Schizosaccharomyces pombe: one gene and its partner. Each later gene encodes a partner of the first gene's protein in a complex. Each region holds a gene or a part of one and is shown on either strand. Other genes may lie near its edges. The genes, in order: tti1 and tel2.

Evidence for each region.
Region 2: tti1 (region 1) and tel2 share a complex: the UniProt entries of both Schizosaccharomyces pombe proteins name them as parts of the TORC2 complex.

The regions. Positions count from the first base shown.
Region 1 is NC_003421.2:1,420,596-1,427,804, reverse strand, and holds tti1 (TTT co-chaperone complex, armadillo-type fold subunit Tti1), read left to right. Parts: upstream 1-1,937; 5' UTR 1,938-1,958; coding exon 1,959-5,255; 3' UTR 5,256-6,659; downstream 6,660-7,209. Other genes in the region: SPOM_SPCC622.14 (GTPase-activating protein), read right to left, coding at 1-17, 96-173, 495-707; NADP-specific glutamate dehydrogenase Gdh1, read left to right, coding at 6,993-7,209. UniProt on the Schizosaccharomyces pombe protein: Component of the TORC1 and TORC2 complexes required for the regulation of the cellular respons to changes in available nutrients.
Region 2 is NC_003424.3:4,733,113-4,738,336, forward strand, and holds tel2 (TTT co-chaperone complex LRR repeat subunit Tel2), read left to right. Parts: upstream 1-1,708; 5' UTR 1,709-1,749; coding exon 1,750-4,356; 3' UTR 4,357-4,486; downstream 4,487-5,224. Other genes in the region: SPOM_SPAC458.02C (mRNP complex protein), read right to left, coding at 1-216, 314-487, 608-703; dli1 (meiotic dynein intermediate light chain Dli1/Dil1), read right to left, coding at 4,493-5,035, 5,077-5,171, 5,218-5,224. UniProt on the Schizosaccharomyces pombe protein: Component of the TORC1 and TORC2 complexes required for the regulation of the cellular respons to changes in available nutrients. Required for normal entry into S phase. Regulates activation of the DNA replication checkpoint.

The DNA of each region.
Region 1 (7,209 bases):
GCAATGTCGGTATTGTACTTAAAATGTGTTAGTCAATGTGAATAAAATCAAAATAAGGTAAACTGGAAAAAATATAGAAGGTTCAAAGATCATACTTTTTCACGAATACTTCCGGCAGCAGAAAACATCGGGTCTGTAGACAAGAATGTTTTAGCATTAGAATTTCCACCAACCTGTATAGAAGTTAGTCAGGAGCATGCAACAAATGTGGGCTATATATGTTGTTTCAAGTCATTGATGAAATTATAGTGAGCTTGCATTTTATAACTTCAGGTGATAATCAATTGCGCGTCATGTACTTGTTTTTAACATTAAACATTATTCTTGTCAAAAAAAGGCACTAAATGACTTGGAAAAAATTCGAAATAGCGGCAAGCAAACTCGCAGATCAATAGCGCTACCCTCTCAGCCAAATGAATTATTATATATATATGTTTTTTTTTTGGTAAAATAACCAACAAACTCCAATAGCCCGTATCAATCCTGATGCTTACCTCCATCATCTTCACTTGACGTTCACTCCAATTGTCCATGGTAATACTGCGGACAAAGCTCTTTTCGACTCCCAAACCACGATGCTGTCCACTGCAATCCAAACAAATGAAGATTCCCAAATTACAAGATGCCCATTGTGGATTTGGAGCATCACAATCAAAACATTTCTTGTTTTCAGGAAGACGAGTGAGTTGGTCTAATTTATACGACATTTTTTATTAGATTATTTAAACAACCAACTCATTAATTGTAGTTTGTTCTAAGTGACTTTGAAATTTCGTTATTTTCATGTCTCACCATGGTGTGAGATTTTATGGAAGTGCGTAAGAAAACGTTAAAGATCTGGTGAAACGTATTCCAAGTATATAAAATCAAAACATGAAGGAAATAAATATGTCGTGCAGTTGAATGCATTTATGAGTTTCAACTTTTTCTTGTTTTTGATCCATACTGTTTAAAATACCAGCATCTAGTTTCTTGGAAAGCTTACGGTATTATTTTGAGCAATTTTCATATCTGTCTAAGAGTTCATTGACCTTCAAAATAAATAGATTAAAGAGATTATTCAAGTTACAATAAGTTTGGTTTAAGAAAATGCAAATTAGTTTAAACAATCCTCTCGTTTTTGAAACAAACTGATAATTCAGTGATTTTTGACTACAAATAGAAATTCAGAAATTACTGTGTTCCTCGCTTGTTAAAGGTATGTAGCAGAAAATCTCTTATGAGTTGGCTACCTCTTAAGTTGTATCGTCTTTATGAACTTAACGACTTTTTTAAGGACTATAGAGGACTAGAAGCTTGAAACTACAAAACTAGACTAGTAAAAAGGTTATACCCTTATAAATTTGAGTGAATACATCCACTACTTCCATTGCACACATTAAACCAGTCTTAGTCTGCATAGCAAAGTAATTTGAGCTACAAATTATTTATACTATATATATGTCTTTCGACACACACGTTAAAATGTTTATTAAAAAATATAAAATAATACTATCGAGTTTTTAATTCAATGTAAACAGATACGCTAAAAGGCTGAAAGGCTACGAAGTTATTATTATTGTAATTGCATAGCTTCAAAAATTCTCTCTTTAATTTAAAATTTTAGTTGAGATCAAAGTAATGGTCATCAGTAAGAACTTGAATGTAACCCTAAAACTTGCAGCTTTTTGCAATATATCTTTCCAAGTTTTTAAGAACAAAGTCAAATCATTGCAACTCATTTTGCTAAATATTTTCAATGTTTCTCACGAAAACCGACTGGGAATTGGCTGTGCATCTAGTCAAAACACTTGCTATAATTTAGCACGACATTAAATATTCAAATCATTTGAATAATATTGAATTATTTATTAGAGAATACTGTAATATCATATACATTTCCAATCGCAAAAGTATGCATTTTTAAATGGTTTGCTTGTATATGACCTACCATCTCTATAACTTCATGGTTTCTCTACATGTCTCATATACAGAGTATTTTCGCACAAATTCGAGATCCTTTTCGAAAGTTAAGCTTCTATTCTCTTCCTCTATCTTCTGAAACTTCATCTGTTGACTCCAATGGGTTAAAGAACTCGTTGAAGGATGCGTACTTTGGGCTGGAAAAAGCATTGACCAATACAGACGCCGATTTACCACTAAATTTATGCGATTACATATTTTTTCCAATTGTACCTGTACTAAAGTCCTGGTATCGTGTCCCAAGTACAGGAGTGGAGTATGCCATTCAGTGCGTGAATTTGCTTTACAAGCATGGTTGGAGGGAAGCTCATAATGAAATGTTGACGATGCAACTATTATTGATGCTTCTTAATATAGCAGATGGATGGAAATCTCCTTCGGAAACTGTGGAACAAGATTTTCGTGTTCGAGAAATTACTTTCGAAACGCTTGAGAACGTTATTACAGATTTTAAGCCTAATTTTCACGATAAAAGACAGTATCTTCTCTTTGCGAGAGCTCTTTCTAGTGCTTTGGATATTATTCCAAATAAAAATAGCTCACGGAGATTACAGTTTGCCTCATTGTGTTGCGTCCAAAAGCTAATATGCCCAAAGCAATATCGCTTACCAACAGAATTTCTTACTACTTTTCTTCCTGGCATAGTATCGGGATTGACAAAGGGACTGGCGCCAAATGGAACCTGTCAGTATTTTAAAAACGTGTGTATCTCTTTGAATATTTTAGGTGATACAGTGGTGAAAGCTATTAGTGACGATAACACAAAAGATTTGCCAGATGAAAAAGATGCTTCTTCTAATTCTCATTTTTTTGGCCCAACGAAGCGTACAAAGTCTTGGAAACGCGCTACCTGCCAACAATTAAGCAATGCCGTCAAGGCAATTCTTCACCTTCGTTCTTCACAAAACTTACATGTACAAGATGCTTTATTTGATTTTTGCTTTATCCTATTTAGAGATTGTTTAGATTCACTAAAAGATTGTAGGATTCATTTACTAGAGAGCATGCTAAAATTGATCAATAAAAAAGAAAATCCAAAATTAAGGGACTATGGGATGAACAAACTCGTTTCTCTCATTGAATCATTCAACAATATTACTATGGAATCAGTATTAACTGAATGCCTAAATGATTGGTCTACTACATGGTCTAGTGTTTCCACTTTTGCTTCAGAAGATAATAAATTGGAGGAGTTGAACCGATTGAAAAGTCTCTTAAGTATATCCAGTCATCTTCCTAAGACTTTGCAGCTCATGGAGCCTTTACTGGATGGTATACTCAGCCAACTTGTACCAAAGTCATCGGGAATTGATTCCAATTCGCAGAAGCTTTTAACATCCAGTACTTCGAATGAGTACATCCATGGTGAATTTTTTGGTGGAAATGAGATGGAAAGAACAACACAAGAGATTGTTACAAGCTTCGCAAAGGCACCTAATGTTAAATATGTTATGCAGTCCTTACTTTCTAAGGCTACCTCAGCAACAAATGAAAACTCGGTTCGTGCATTTTGGGCATTTATGGTACTTTTGAAAAGTGACGTAGAAACGGTGGACAGTTTGGAAATGTATATTGATTCATTAGAGCAATATTCATTCGAAGTATTGCAACAATTATCGCAATTAAATGTCTTTACGAAAGCATCGTTGGAGGATAAGCAGAAAAAGGAAAAGTATAATCTTTTGTGTGTTCGTTCTTGCATTGCTATTGACAGCATTAGCTGGATTTCTTCTTTACAAGGAGTAAAGTTTCGATCAAAATTAATGGCATATTTTTATCCTCTCCTTGAACATTTGGCGTTTGCTTCTCCTTATGTATCTTCGTTTGCAGAGGCATGTATTCAAGCAATTGCGACAAATTGCAACTACTCGACGCCAGCAGAGTTACTTAGAGAAAATATTGACTATGTGGTCAACTCAGTTGCCCTCAAATTGAACACATTAGACGTATCACCTCAACTTCCAATTGTGATGGCTTATGTAATAAAGAATGACGATGGAGGATGCATTCGGTACATTGGAGATGTAGTGGATGCTATTTTTGGGATTTTGGATGCTTACCATGGTTACGCACGGCTTACAGAAGGGTTGCTTGGAATTCTTTATGCCATAATAAAGCAAGAAAGTATAAATGGCGAGGAGAAAAAGCTCATCGTCGGGGTGGAGGAGGACGCAATGAACGAGGATAAAAATAAGCCATGTAAAAAGATTCGCGAATTCGTTCAACTACTATTAGAGAACCCTAATTATCCTCTTCCAAAAGATGATCATGAACTAGAGGATATGATACACGATGAACAACAAGAAACGAAAAGTGGACATGAACAGTTTCGCGAACATGCAATGAAGGAAAAAGAAAAGAAGGGCAAAGAAAATGAAAATATGGGTGAGACCACAGTTGATCATGAAAACATAAATAGTAATGTTATGGACGAACAAGGAGAAAAGCAAAAAGATGATGTCGTCGATATGGTAAGGAAAATCACGGAAAAGGCGCAGTTATTCTTATCACATGAACAAATTACGATACGAGTGGAAATGTTAAAATTGTTGAGCTATGGAAGCAATGTTTTGGCTAAGGAGCCAAACACATTTTATCCTGCTATTAATACATTTTGGCCATTGGTCGTTATTCAGCTTGACACGGATAACGAACTGCTAGTAGAATGCGCATTAGAAACTATATATCAAGTTTGCGCCCTTGCAGATGATTTTATGACATCTAGGATTCGCCAAGATTTGCTTCCACGATTGGAGACGTTGTGCCAACGTTGGCATCTTTTCAATGTTGCTCGAACATATTCTAGTGAGCATCGTTTGCAAAGGGCAATGCTAAAAGTAACTTCAGCATGTGTGGCTAACAAATTGAGCATTGTAGTGTATTTGAAGCTTATGGGGATAACGGCACCCATCATACGAGCCATTACTCACATGTCTCAAAAGTATGCGGGGGATGAATCATTGGTGGAAGAAACTTGGAACGCATTTTCCAAGCAAAATCCCGACGCAGTGTATTATGAGAGAGAAGTTCGAGGGTCTCAAATGATTGACACTTTCTCTACTGAATTGTTAATTCCGGGAAAGCAACGTGTTCAACGTACATATCGCCGAACACATGAAGTTTTGGAACCTGTCGGAGCAAAGACGTCGGAGACTGTTTTCAATGATTTGCTTGGGCAACAAGGCAGCGGGAAAACCGAGACACAAGAGGAACCACTCCCTTCTTTGGACAATTTGTTACACTTGAATCAACCGAAAAAAGGAGCTAAAAAACCATTGATTTCCATCATTTAACGATAATAAAAGTGGTTACCAGTTTTAGAATTTTCCGTGTTTTAAAAGAAAATACAAAGAGCCTAAAAATCAGGCAAAGAATTCCATTACATCGCATAAAATTATATTGGCAAAGGCTCGACTTTTTTCATCTTGGCATTATTTGATTTGACTAAGGCTGTACTCGATTCAACTTGTTTCGATTTAGATGAGCCATTTTACCTACATTCAATGAGTCAGACTCAACGAATTTAGCTAAGTTGACGAAACGAGGCTGGCAGCTACCTAAATTATACTAAAAAACAAACTCATCTTGCTACCGAGCACAACGACGATCGCACCTTGTTTCGTAGTTTCGCTAATCTTTCGAATGAACTATTTTCTATCCAATTTTAGATTCAAAGCAAACAGCCACATGATCGGGCAAGGAATAAATGGACAAACGATAGTGGGATAGTGGGTTATCAGAAGACCAAAAAATAAAGAAATTTGAAATTTTTCTAACTTACATCTACGCTACGAATTTCATGACTCTGTTTCGTTTGTCTTTTTTCTATTGAAAGCTAGTCATGACTATGGCTGCTAAGGCGCAATACGTTTGGATGAGCGAATGTTTAGTCCATACTGTAAAACCGAGGCAAGGCCGTTTACTCGAATTTTCGGATATGTATTTGCGATTTGGTCTGCCTGGAAGAACCTACCCGTTTCAGTGTGATTCGACCTATTTCAGTATTTAGCGTTTTTTTCTTTTGGTACTATCCTTAGTTATCCTTGTTATCAGTAAGGGGGCAGCAACTGAAAGGAGTAAAGAATAGACCCTTTAAATGGATGTGAGAGATTGGAACGAGATTAGATTAACAAAGGACTTGGACTTTTCCAGATTTTTTTTCTTAAAAAAATTATAGAAACTGTTAATCAACAGAAAGCGAAAATCTTCTATATTACAACATTAACCTCTCTAAAACATTTTTTTTTCATCTAAAAACATCTTTCCCCCCCCCCCAAGCACCCCATCCCACTAAGGATCTTCTATAATTCCATGGATTTTCCCGGAGGAGCTGCGTTTTCCCCACATTTTCAGTAGGGTGGGTGATAGCCGTTGCACGGACCAATCATTAAGCAATGCTTATCTTATCTTTATTTGGTTGAGCAGGAGACGAAGGAATTCTGTGAGGGGGTTGGCTTATCAGATCGGAAATTTTCCGCTTAAGTAATCTTCTTTTCCACTATCCAATTATAGAGAAAAGAGATATATAGGAGCATTGTGATTGGAGATTTTGACATCATACTTACATCCTATTCGTCTGTTATCTCCGCCATCGCTCTTCCATCAGGTTTATTGCAAGTCGTCAGCCATTAGCAAACGTATGGTCTCCCAAAAAACAAGGTATCTGGTGTGACTGTTGATTATTGCTTGTTAAGTGTATAAATATAGCAGACATGGCCAGCACGTCCCTGAATCCTCCTGCTACACTGCACTGGTACATCTGGTAAGCGTTTTGAACCCGGATCGATATCTCTTACATACTCACGTTGTAAGAGTTTTGTTGGATTGTAGTTAAATTTTGAAAGTCTTTGCGTTGAAGGCGTCGAATACGGATTTGTATAGAACTTTGGATTGTACAGCCTGTATTTGTATTGTTAAAAGTTTTCGAGGTCGCCTTTTTTTGATATCTCGAATTCTCTAAACTTATCATTATTATATAGATATACACTCTATATCACTACCTTCGATTTTGTTTACTTTTTTGGCCCACCATGAGTACCCCATACGAACCTGAATTTCAACAAGCCTACAAGGAGATTGTGGGCTCCATCGAGAGCTCCAAGCTCTTTGAAGTTCATCCCGAGTTGAAGCGTGTGCTTCCAATCATTTCCATTCCCGAACGTGTCTTAGAATTCCGCGTCACATGGGAGGACGATAAAGGTAACTGCCGTGTTAACACCGGCTACCGTGTCCAATTCAACTCGGCTT
Region 2 (5,224 bases), on another chromosome or scaffold:
ATTTCTAATCGTATCAATACTAGTTTGAAGAGCGTTCAACTCAACGAAGCTCTTTCTAGTACGATTGCACTGAGAAATTTCACGCAGGTATTTCTTCTCATCAACAATCTTTAAAGTTCCTGAGTCAACGGCGGCTTGAAGTTGTTTAACATGTTTATCAAGCTCCACTTCTGACTTGAAAGGAACAGTTTTTTTCATGGCAGTCAACTCCTTAACCTAAAAGTATGTCAGTAAACATTTTGTTTCTTTACCAAGCTCATAAAGTTTTCCAACACAAAACTTTAGTGCTTACATATATTAATGCAAAACATACCTTCTTTTTCAAAAGTTCATCTTGAGCCTTGACTTTGTTGATGAGAGTTTGCTTAGAAGAACGGATAGCTGCTTGAGCATTGCGAATATTGTCTAATTCAGCGCGAAGTTCTGCATTCTTCTCCTGCAATGAACCACCACCGCGAATGGCACCAAGCTTCTCCTTATGCTCATTCTAGTTGATTAGTTAAGATGCGAAAACTATATAAGAAACAAGTGATTTTTTGAAGCTTTCATAGTTATGAAAAAAAAAAAAAGCTTAGCCTTCAATATTCAAGAATTTAAAACTACTTACGAAACGCTTTTTCGCCTCGTTGATCTTAGCATCAAGCTCCTCCAAAGCCTCCTTGTGAAGAGCTTCATTAGGACGAACGGGTTTATGAGATGACATTTTTATTAAGGATTTTGTTGTTGGTGGTGGATAGTGGTGTGTGTTGAGTTGTCGTTTAACGAGTATATAACAAGGCAGATAAACTCCGTTTGTTTTGCTTCCCTAGAGTTTTCGTTCGCAGTGCTGTGAAGGAGACTACCTGTTTCTGAAATTTTTATAAATAGCTTTTTGTTGACGGTTATTCAGACATCGTGTGAAGAGCAGTCTAAGGAAAAGATTACGATAATACATGTTATGATATTTTTTTTTTATTTATTTAAATAAACTGGTAGTTTTTTGCACTCGTCCACGTATTATGTTTAATATTTCAATTTAAAAATCCTGAATTGTAAATTTAGTGACCTTTATTTGCAATGTGTTGACTTGAACGAAACAAGAAAAATTAATGCATTTTTTCTCACGGATTAGCTTACCGATTAGCGGAGCATTAACATTTAATTTGGGAGGTACACAAAAACAGTTTTAAACTAAAAGTTACTTGCTTTTTAAAAGCAAATAGAAATATTGCAACTAGTCTTATAAAGCAACAGGATACTTCACTTATAGAAAGCGAATTTGAAAGCATAACTATCCATTCTTTTGTTACAACTATTGCATATAAGCACAAAATGTCTTTAAGTTAAATTATACATAATATCCTTTTTCTGTCACGTAAATTGTAAGTTCCTATTCAATTTCAGGCTGTGAAAAGTCCGTGAAAATAATACATCGAAGAGCTTTACAGGTTTCACAGAATATCCCGATGCTACCCATGTAATTGTTGCATACACCATTCTCAGGAAGTTTAAGAGCACAATTTAAAAAACTATATGAATTGAGTTCAAATTACCTTTATAGAATGAAAAACAATTAATAGAATTTAAAGTAATTTACATGGACAACAAATTAAAAATAACTATATACTTTGTAAAGAGTTTTGGTGTTGTTTTAGCCAAGCAGCCTATAATCCTGCATATTGCTGATTGCTGACCGGTGAATTAATCCACCGAAGGTTACTGTCTTCTCAACACCCCAAAATAATTCGGTTATTTTTCAACTCCAAGGATATGAAATCCTTTGCTAGCGAACTATCCAAACCTATTCAAAAGCCGCGTTTAAAAGAAATCCTTAAAGAACTGCAGCATATAGGTGTTCCTTCTCCTTGCAATCTAAGATTATATCATGAGTTAATTAGTGTGATAGTGCCCACATTCTGGAATGGGAAAATTAATTCAGAAATAGATTTTCTCCTTGCAAAATGTTTTTCTACTCTTTTGGGCTTAAAACTGCTATGTGTTCGACTAGATAATTTTGTTCAAGAGGCTAATTTGCAAAACATTCATCTTGTTACAGTTTATCTTGAGCTACTGGAAAAAGCATTTGAATGTATAGACCTTGACGATAACTGTAAATTGATATGGGAATCTACTGTATTATCTGATCATCAAAAGCAATCTTTGTGGACTGAATTTATTTTTTTCTTGGGAAACTTTAAAATTACTAATTCAATGTCTGCTGCAATGCTTACCTTCAAGGTTTACGATGATTCAAAACGTTTGAAGGCTTCATCAATGGCCGACTACATTGGCGTTTTATCTTCAAAATTGGCTTGCATTATATCTAAACCTGCTGTTAAAACCCCAGAAATATATTCAAAGCTATTCCATTATTTATTACACTCATCCAATTTAAAGGCATTCATTAACCCATTGATTCCATTAACACAAAAATTTTGTGTTCAGCTACAAAAATTATTTGCAGATTTGACGGTCTCTGATCAAATGTTGTTTCTCAATCAACTTCTTCTTGAACATAATACCAAATATCCCACCAATTTTTCATATTCCACCGCAAGAGATGATCGTATAACAGGTTCATTGGCTACATTATTAAGGCTGAACTTTTCATCCACTCACTTCCTTCGATTAATTGAATTTTATTGGGGCGTCCCTACAAATTTAATAATTAAAAGGGTAGAAGTAGTTTGTTCGAGTATATCTTATAAGGAATCTGATAAAAAGGAGCTAGAAAAAACAGTGGACTCTCTGTTTAATATATGGTCAAATGCGCAATTTTTGAGGAGCTATACGCTGCTAGCTCAAGAGAGCTTAACAATATATTTATTACTATTTATTCCGAAACTTGAAGCAAAATATTTGAATAATCTTTCCAAATCCCTAATGTTCTCCAATGCAATATCTTGCCGTTTAGATAGTCTAGATGATGATATTCGAATGCATGGAATGATAATGGCCGAAGTAATCTCTACATATTCGGGTGTCAGCTTAAGTAACCCGTTAGCCTTTGACGTTCCAATAATGAAGACTACGAAAGCAAAAGTTCTCAAATCGTTGAGCTCACTCAAGGATGAATTTTTGCCTATTGAAATTTTGAATGACGAAAGTGTTATCGCAGAGACTTCGATAGAAAAGGAAGAGACGAATGTAACTCACTTGGAGAAGCCAGTGATTTCTAAAAACGATGACTTAATAAGGGGAGATGACTTGGAGCCTTACGATTTTCCTGATATTGACAGTGAGGACACGGACGACGATCCAACTGTCTCTAGATCCAAGACGCATTCTCCTGTGTACGTACAAGATTTGTGCAAAATGTTAAAAGACACAGAAAGTTTTGAGAAACAACGTGTTGCACTGGAAAACGCTTCTAAGTTAATAAAACGAAAGTCTGCTTTTGGAACCGAATTACGAGATCATGCAGATGAATTGTTACAAACGTTAATTTCCTTACAAAATCGATTTGACTTAATGAACTTTGATGAAATGCAAATGACTGCTATAGTGGAACTTCTGTTAACCTGTTTAGATATATGTGGTCCTGTTATTTGTACAAATTTATTTGTTAGTGACTATTCAATGCGCCAAAAAATACTTATCTTATCTTGTATTTCTTTAGCTGCTAGCAAATTCAACGATGATGATAATGAACGTCTTTTTCCCAGCCAGTTACTTCCAGGAAATTTACACGATCAGTTTTATTCACCCACTATTGAAAAGATTAGTGATGAATTAGAAAGGAAATTAGTTTTTCCGGTAATGAGTGAATGCAAGGATTATGCGGAGGGACCGAAATTCTTACAGACACGGTATATTTCAAAGCAGTCGGAAATCGAGTCGAAAAAGCCACTCCCAAAGGCCAATCGATTATCGCTTAAGGTAGATAAATCATTGTTCCTGCTCCTCACCAGTGGTTATATGCTGGCATCTAGGAAAACGGCTTTTATTGAGCCTTTGTTTTTAGTCTACTATCTTAAGACATTGGGTATTCTCTTTTTTGAAACTTTTACCTCAAAGATAGAAGGGGCAAACAGAATGCTCCGGGAATATGTTGACGTTTTAAATGAGGTCTGCCGACTTCGATCAGACACTCCAGAAGTTAATGAAGGGCTTTTGTTTAGTTTTTTGGCTATCTTAGAAATATCTTCTGGGCGTACTTTAGCTAATGAGTTTGGGAAGCATTTGCTCTTCTTTGAGGCGTATACTAAGTTTCTTTTTGAAAGCCCTGATCAAGGTGAGAAAGTTAAGTCACTCTCAGCAGCTGTTTTAATTCTATTTGAAAATAAACTTTCAGAATTCAGAACGCTCGCATTGGAAAAATTACTGGATGACTCAGCTCCTTTGGTTCCAGAGCGATTTGGATTAGCCGGACTTTAATAGTTCTTTATGGTCATGATTTAAAAGAAAAAAAATATTATTTATGAGGTTGAAATTTTGACAGAAACTCATTAATGCATTTTAATTAAATAATATGATTTTGTAATAATAATGAATGTCTTTAGGCCAATTACAATTATTGAATTAAGTCCTTCCACAAACTTGATTTTATGGAGGATTTATTTAATTTGTTTGAAGAATACGTTTTAATCTCGCTATACTTGTTCTGTAGTTCTTGCAAAAAAACTTGGTGCGATTTGTAGGGTATATCTCCATCCGATATTTTTGAGGAATGACAGTTCAACATCGATATACTCTTATCAAATAAACCAAGTAATAAACTTATGTCAAGAGTATCGTAAAAATTTTTAGCGGTTTGTTTAAAAAGGGCGATATTAAATTCATGATTGACACTCTGTATTTTAGAGATAGTGTCCCAACAAGGAGGTATAAACATAGTTTCTGATTGAATTGTTTGAGCATGAAAATCTCGAGGTTTAAACTTTTGAAACATAAAATTATACTTCATTAAAACGTTGAGATTATTCCAGCTTGTTGGGTCCGCTGAGATAGAAACAATTGAGGACGTTGGTACGGATAAAAGTGTCGTTCGCAAAAACTGTAAAATAAATTCCTGTGAATTATCGACTGAGGTATGCAAGCCTAAAGCATGCTTCAACTACAAATTAGTAAATGTGCAAGTATTCAAGGGTATCTTACCTGTTTCAGAACAACCGTAAAGTTTAGTAGAATACCACTACTTATATCCAATGTTGTCGAGTTCTTATCCAGTAAAGCTACCAGTTTTTTGTTCTCTAAAGCAGATCAGTTAACAGGATAATTGAGTTCAATCAATCTTACGAGACTC